Callithrix jacchus: one gene and its partner. The protein of the gene in region 1 purifies or fractionates together with the protein of each later gene. This does not show direct contact. Links are inferred from orthologs where the notes say so. Each region holds a gene or a part of one and is shown on either strand. Other genes may lie near its edges.

Region 1 (3,452 bases):
TTTTTGTGTTTTTTGTATATGAGGTGGTGTTTCACAATGGCGTCCAAGCTAGTCTGAAACTTCTGGGCTCAGGCAATCCTGCCTCAGCCTCCCAAAGTGCTGAGATTACAGATGTAAGCCACCGTGCCCAGGCTATACTTGTCTTTTTAAAATCTACTTAGTTTACTTGACCTCTATAATTATTTTTCCTCTTTCTTCTAATAGCTTCTCAGTATGATTTTCCACTATGTTAAGACAAGTAATTGACCCATTATTACATTTGAAGTTTTCTCTAAGCAACCTTCCCATTCCCGCTGCACCTAAGCTGTGTGCTCACTAGCCCGGATTCACAGCTGTCATCCTGAAGCTTCTGTCTGCCGTCCTGTCTTTTCCCAAGTGATCCACCCATCTCAGGCTCCTAAAGTGCTGGGATGACAGGCGTAAGCCACCATTCCCAGCCATTCTTTTCCTTTTTAAAAAAACTTTTTCTCTTCTTTATTTTTAGTGGAGATGGGGGTCTCACTATGCTGCCCAGGCTGGTCTTGAACTCCTCGGCTTAAGTGATCCTCCTGCCTTGCCCACCCAAAGTGCTAGGATTACAGACGTGATCCACTGTACCTCGTGCAGTGGTATAGTTTTACACTCATTAGATGATCAAGAAATGCCTAAATGCCATAATAAATGTAGAACTCTACTTTGAGAAGACCTAACATTTCCTTCAGAAAGTAATTATGAGAGGGGTGGAGATGGTGCATTATCTTATTTTATTTTTATTTTAAAAATTTATACATAATTGTACATATTTATGGGGTAGATAACAATATTTCAATACATATATACCATGTGTTATGATCAGATGGGATAATTAGCATATTCATCACTTTATTTTTTGAGATAAGGTCGGGCTCTGTCACTCAGGCTGGAGTGCAGCGGTGTGATCTCAGCTCACTGCAACCTCTGCCTCCCGGACTCAAACCCTTCTCCCACCTCAGCCCCCGGAGTTGCTGGGACTATAGGCATGCATCACCACACCTGGCCGATTTTTGTTTTCTGTTTTGTTTTGTTGTGGTAGAGATGGGGTTTCACCGTGTCGCACAGGCTGATCTTGTTTTCTAAAGTGCAGGAAAGCAATCAACAGGCTAGTTTTACACTAATGAAAATGAACGACATACCCAAACTGCCCGCAAGGCCTGTTCTAAGAAATGAGAGGAGTGAGTTAGACTGCAGTGGAAGATGGAGTTGGGGTGAGTGTTTCTGGGGAAAACCAGATGAGCACAGAGGGCCAAGGGGAAGCATGGAGGGTTCTGCGCAGAGGATGGAACAGAGTCGGCCGTGAGAGCTGGGAACGTTAGAGATTCATCTGGAGCCCGTATTACAGAAGGTTGAAGAAAGAGGCTGGTATGTGGTCCAGCCAGGGTACCATGTGATCCACAGTGTGCAGGGAGGAGACTCCTCCCATCCCAAATGGAGGGCGTCCTCGGACAGGGAGCCAGGCAGACACTAGCTGAACGGCTCCTTGATGGAGCACCAGGAGGAGGCAACATGGCCTCCTTTCCAAGCTGTAGCCTCAACCCTCCTGCTCCCATGCTCCACGTACACCACAGTGTTTGAGTTGTGTCCCATGCCATGATCCATCCCTTGGATATGACCATGCCTGGGGTTCACTGGTTATGAGGAGAACCCGTGGCTGTGAACATCTGGTCGACCTCCATCCTGACTCCCGTGAGATTTCCGGGGCTGTGGGAGGGGTGGGAGTGGCCTCTGCATAGCCCTGACCCTGTGCCGCGGGCGCTTCCTCCGGCTGTGCCAGTCCTCTGCCAGAAATCCCGCCAGGAGTATTAGGATCACAGCTCCGAGGCATATCCGGACCAGGTTGCCCTTGGTGTAGTACTGGCGGGAAGGACCTGGAGGAATGAGGAGAGGCAGGAGCAGGTGAAGAAGCCCATCTCCAGGACCCCCTCCAAGCCACATCTTGGGCTTCTCAGAGATCCTATTATCCTCTACCAGCTGGGATGCCATTCTCTTTCCTGGAGGGTTCCCCCACTCCCCAGTAGGAGTCAGGGCAAGATGACCCCAATTCTCTAAGTAGCACCTCTCCCTCATGTGCCGTCACAGGGCTCTGAGACAACCCCTTCCCAGACACATGCTGCCTTGTTAGCCAATGCGTTGCAAAAGAGAAGACAGTTATAAGGGGCGGGGAAGAGATGGAATCTCTTTCTCTGACCCTTCAGAAAATCTCAACCTTCCCAGCTGAACTTAATGCCCAATTCTGAACCCCATACACTGATATTCCGCCTTCTCTCTACACACTGGAACCCAAGATCTCAGAGCTGCAGTTTCTGTATAGAGAAAGGAGTTGGCTTTGGGTGAGAAGGGAGAGGGTCTGGAGAGGATGACTCACCAGCTGGAGAGCCTGACTCCTTTGGACTGGTGGTGATACTCCTAGAAGTCTCTGGGAACCAAAAAAAGGCTAAGTGTGAAATGAAACCATATTCCCTCCCCCATCACTGTCCCTACCCTTAACACACACACTTGGGAGGCAGAATTCCTTATTACAGAGCATGGGCTGGGCACAGTGGCTCACCCCTGTAATCCCAGCACTTTGGGAGGCTGAGGCAGGAGGATGGCTTGAGTCCAAGAGTTCAAGACCAGCCTAAGCAACTTGGAAAAATCCTATCTCTACAAAAAATACAAAAATTAGCCTGGTATGATGACACATGCCTATAATCCCAGCTACTCAGTGGGGGCTGAGGCAGGAAGATCACCTGAGCCCTGAGAGGTTGAGGCTGCAGTGAGCCAGGATTGCTCCACTGCACTCCAGCCTGGGAACCAGAGCAAGACCGTATCTCAAAAAAAAAGCATGAACTAAAGAATCAGCCTGTCCAGATTTGACACCCAAGGCTATCACTTATCAGCATCTGTGAAGCAGTTTTCCCTCCTATGTGTCCGGTAAAATTAATGATATCCCTTATAGGTTGGTGTGAAAGTCAAGATGATAATGGCAGTAAAACAAAGCACGCTGCTTGACATATAATGAGCACCTCATACATGTCAGCTCTCTATTCCTCAAGCATCTCCTGAGACAAGCCAGGTACGCAGCCATGTGCTGCGCCTCACGAACCCAAATATTAACAAGACACTGTCCACCTGCAGTTCCCAGGCTATTGGAGGAGACCAAGAAGTAAAGCGGGAAAGCGGGGATGTGTGTGTGTGTGTGTGTGTGTGTGTGTGTGTGTGTGTGTGTGTGTGTCAAGTTGGGATCTCGCTCTGTCACCCAGGCTGGAGTGCAGTGGCGTGATCTCAGCTCACTGCAGCCTCCACCTCCTGGGTTCAAGCGATTCTCCTGCCTCAGCCTCCCAAATAGCTAGGATTACAGGCACGGCACCCACCACCACGCCCAGCTAATTTTCTTATTTTTAGTAGAGACAGGGTTTCACCATGTTGACCAGGCTTGTCTCTCCTGACCTCAAGTG
Region 2 (4,413 bases), on another chromosome or scaffold:
TTTTGGACAAGCCCCTGAATCTTTTTCTGTTTCTGTCCCTCTCCATACTTATAGGAGCCACAAAAGGTTCAAATGAAATTAGAGTTCAAGAAGACTTCGGAGGCCTGAACAAGTGAAAGGTGCTAACACCTTCACCATCATCGCTAAGCAGAGCCGGGAAAGGCCTGAGGCCATCTCTGCTGTCAATATGACATTGATCAATGTCCTGACTAATGACTGTGGTGGCCTTTCAGTGTTAACACTCATCCAAGCATCATTGAGATCATCAGTAGTTGTGAGCATGGAACAATGTTCCCTGCTGTGGGCATGTATACATTGTATCCTTATTTATAAAGTTAGTATGGGTTTGTACATGGATAACATTATTTAATTTTGTTAAGTTACAACTCCACATAGTCATGTGAACCAACTGGAATCGCAGATGTTTTGGGATTTATTTCCGAAAACATATACTACAGAGAGAAGTAAAAGGCTTTCAAAGTCATTGAACAGTGCTGGACCACTTTTCTGCTAAAAGAAAGTCATTGGAGAGGTGGGGTGGGGATGGGATTACAAAGTCTCCACCTACCTTGGCAACATGAATGACTCTAAAATAATGTGGGTCAAATACCTTTGCAGGAAACATCTTAACCACCCCACATCAGGACCTCTCTTCCAGTGATAAGTAGAGAAGAGCAGTGCTGAGTGGAAATTCTCATTTAGAACACTAAATGTAAGTAACTCGGTGCTGGGTAACTTTGAGTCAACAAAGCCCCTCAAATCCCGGTTTTAGAAACCACAACAGAAAGGGCCAGTAGGCTTCAGATACCTTGGGGACCAGCTCTATTTCTTCATCTCCCTGTGTCCTCAGTTTTGCATACTGCCAGCTCACAGCAGGCCTTCATTCCTTTTTCCAAGTAATCTCAAACTGAGCACCTACTATGTACCAGGCACTGGGGCTATCATTTTGGACAAAACAGATGAAGCAGTTTTCATGGAGCTTCCACTGTAGTGGTGAAGACTATCAACCTGCAGACAGATCAGTATAACTCTGGCTGCTGCTATAAAGGAAATATTAGCTGAATAAAGGGCCCAAGTGGCTTATCCCAAATCACAGCATACTAAATGGTGGAAGAGGCCAAACTCAAGTCTCCCAGCTCCTATTTTCTCTTCCCTTATGTCTGCTGCCCTCTATCCTTCACTCAGCAAAAGCGCCATACATTTGCATCAAAAGAGGCCCAGTCACCAGAGGCTCTATGATCTAATGAAATTTCTTCAAGCCTCAAAGTGCTTACCTGCTTACCTCCAAATGAGAATGGAGGGACTAACTGGATCTCACCCTTTTCCAACAAAGCTTACTCTTTCAGAGAAGGCTTTAGTAAGTCCTGGGATCTTGCAGTACCTACTCGCCAGGACATGGCTTTAGGGGTCGGCTGTACAGAGAAAACATCCCTGCAGCCCACCAGTTTATTGGCTAGTTCTATAGGGCAAGTCAGACTACTGGCACCTGCTTTGATGCAGCAGATTCCTCACGTATTTATTAAGCAGATTTACTAATAAGGTCAGATGACTAAATTCAGACAGTAGACGTAGGTTCAAAATCACCAAGCTGCAAAGAATCAAGGAGCCTCTCTATGTGAATAGAATTTACTGCAATAAATAACAGTAACATCGTTTACAAAATGCCTAGTATGTAGTAGGGGCTTTGTTTGTACTAAACAGCCCCTGAGATATATATGCTCTCTCAAAGATGAAGAAGCCCAGAGTTCAATAATCGGTCCCCCAAAATATACAGCCAGAAAAGTGCAAGGCCTGGATTCTAAGCTGGCAAAGAAGGGCGAATTGGGGATAATTAACACACACGGGCATGCAAAGAAACGAAGACACAACCACAAGTCCACAGGGTTGGCAGGCGGTTGGAAAGTTACAAATGCACCGCAAGGAGAAGATACCACCATAGGCCCAGAGAACGCAGGAAAGTGGGAACTGACTCTTAACGCCCTTCCCCCAAGGCGAAGAAGGAAAGGCAACCCCCGAATTCTTAAAATAACTCTCGCTTCCTCTCAGCCGGCAAATGCACCGGACTGCTCCTCTGCAGGCGGAGAGGCGCCGCAGCGGGAGGGTGAGCTCCGGCCTCTGCCGCAGCCCCTCGACGTCACGCTCCTGCCGGGGGCCACCAGGGAAGGCAGCTGTCCGCGGGCCTGGGAGAGGGCGTCGGCCAAACCCCACCTCCCACTTTCTGGGGACCCAGGGTCCAGAGGGGAGACCAGATTGCACAATCGGAGGAGTCCTCTCCAGGATCCCCGCCGCGCGCCCAGTCCGCAAGGACAGGGGCTTGCCCGCGGTGCACGAGAAGCCGCCGGTGCGGGGACAGCAGCCGGTCCTCCGGCCCGCGCCGGGAAGGGCCCGCGCCGGGAAGGACCCGCGGTGAGCCCGCCCCCACGCCCTCACCTCCCATCACCCTCCTGCGCTGCTACGCGCGCGGACACCTGCGGAGCCCGAGTCCCAGCGCCCTAGCTCCCCTGGGCCGGGTCACCCGCTGGCTGAAGAGATCAGCGAGTCTTCGCCGCCAGGGCCGGAGGCGGTGCGGCCAGGAAGCTGCCGCCGGCCGCGCGGATGCCCCAGGCCCCGAGCTGACCTGCGCCCGTCACTCCGGCTGGTGGCACAGCCGCCGCCCCTGCACCCACCGCCCGCCGCCCGCGCCCACCCTGGGCTCGCGCCAAGGACTCACCCGCTCGCGGTGAAAGTTTCGGGGCGGCGGAGCTCCACGGTGACTTGAGTTCAGAGCGGGGGGCGCGACGGGGCGGCCCAGCGGGACCCGCGTAGGGGGAGGCTGCTGGCTGGGAACTCCGGACGCGCGGCGAGGGGCTGCGGGCGCGGGCTCGGGGGTGGCGCGGCCGCCCAGCTTGCCGCGGGCTGGAGGCTGCAGCTAGTCGGGCCCGGAGGCGCCACTGCCGGGGAGCTAGCGGCAGCGCGGCCCGGCGCGGCGGGAGAGGAACTGGCTGTCTCTGGGCTCGACCGAGAGGTCCCAGCTACTTCCTGGTGCTCGGATTTGCATATTGAGCCCGGAGGGCGGGGAAGTGACCGTTTGGTCCCTGCCCAAGGTTTGGGTGTTTGGTGTGGCCGTCGCGCAGGGTTTGAAGGCACAGAAACCTGGCGACTCAGCCTGCAGCTCCGGCGAGAGGAGCAGCCCGGGCCATCCTTCTGCCGGGACCGACGGACGGACAGGTCTCCGGGTAGCCTCGGCTTCGCAGGCGCATCGACGACATCTCGCGGGTCTCCTTTCCTTTCCTTCCGACCCCTCCTCAAGGTGTTAGGAAAGGGGTGTTCCCGGGAACGGAGGAGGTGAGCTCTGATCCCTTCCAACACTAGGGGGTCTGTAGAGAGAGGATGCGATGTGCCGGGTTGAGGCTCGGGGTCTCGGGCTCTTAATAATCATTACAAAGTAAGTTCCTTCAGGGTGTGCAGGGTTCAGGGCAGGCTGTTCAGGGCATTGATGGGGGAGGGGATGACATGGAGTCAAATGGCCCGGCAAGTTCTCCGTTTCTCAAAGCCTCAGTTTCCCCCCAGAAAATGGATGTAAGGATGCCTATCGTGTACTTTTCTGTACCCGGGCCGCACCGCCCGCATGCGGGAATGCTGGCTGTTACTTCGTTCCTGCTACAGCTGCATGCCGGCATGCAGGGCAGTGCTTGCAAGTAGCAGATGCCCAACCAGTATTTGCTGAAAGAATGTGTGACCGCGGGCTCAAGCTCATGTTCAACTTATCCAAGATGTAAGATTAGGCTCGGACACCATGGATACCCACGTCGAAGCCAGATTCTGTTCACTGGGATCCCAGCATTGCATTACCTTGAAGAATTTACAAGGAAGCAAATTGGACACTGTGGGAGACTTGGTCTTTGCATTAATAGCAAACATTTACAGAGGGCCTGATGGGCCAGACAGTGCCCAAAGCACTTGCTTTCCCTCTCAACAATGTTCTGAAGAGGCTGGCCCCAGCTGCAGTGCAAGAGGTCAAAGCAGCTGCCTTGTGACACAATCTGATACGGCAATCTGAGTACTAAGTTTGCAAACTTTAGTACTCCTTTCCATAGTAACGAATTCCTTAAAAGAAGAAAAGGAGGGTGGTTTATATCTGTGATGTTCACTGGTGTGTAGTTCAGTTAGTTTGCTGCTGAAGAGAAGAAGGGGTGGGTTACCCATGGGAAGGTGTGTGATTGAAACTTACCAAGAATCCTATGGAAAAAAAACAAAACAAAGCAAAACAAAAACAAAGAATCCTATGGAGTAATTCACCTGAGAGCCTATTGCCTGCTCTTTTCTTCAGAATGACCTCTCAAATATGTTAATCCTACATTCAAGTATCTATTGCTACTGATGAATCCTTAAGATCCTGGCTAAACATGAGTGGCAAATAAGAGTAGGGTTCAA

The links.
Region 2: the proteins of GP6 (region 1) and LYN purify together in Homo sapiens (affinity purification with western blotting; 5 studies listed by BioGRID and IntAct, with this or other methods). This does not show direct contact. The link is inferred for Callithrix jacchus from reciprocal best matches to the Homo sapiens genes GP6 and LYN.

The regions. Positions count from the first base shown.
Region 1 is NC_133523.1:47,883,815-47,887,266, forward strand, and holds the end of GP6 (platelet glycoprotein VI), read right to left. Parts: intron 2,432-3,452; coding exon 2,381-2,431; coding exon of another isoform or gene 2,304-2,380; exon of another isoform or gene 2,127-2,303; intron 1,884-2,126; coding exon 1,648-1,883; 3' UTR 737-1,647; downstream 1-736.
Region 2 is NC_133517.1:12,280,162-12,284,574, reverse strand, and holds the start of LYN (tyrosine-protein kinase Lyn), read right to left. Parts: upstream 2,980-4,413; 5' UTR 2,711-2,979; intron 1-2,710. UniProt on the Homo sapiens protein: Non-receptor tyrosine-protein kinase that transmits signals from cell surface receptors and plays an important role in the regulation of innate and adaptive immune responses, hematopoiesis, responses to growth factors and cytokines, integrin signaling, but also responses to DNA damage and genotoxic agents.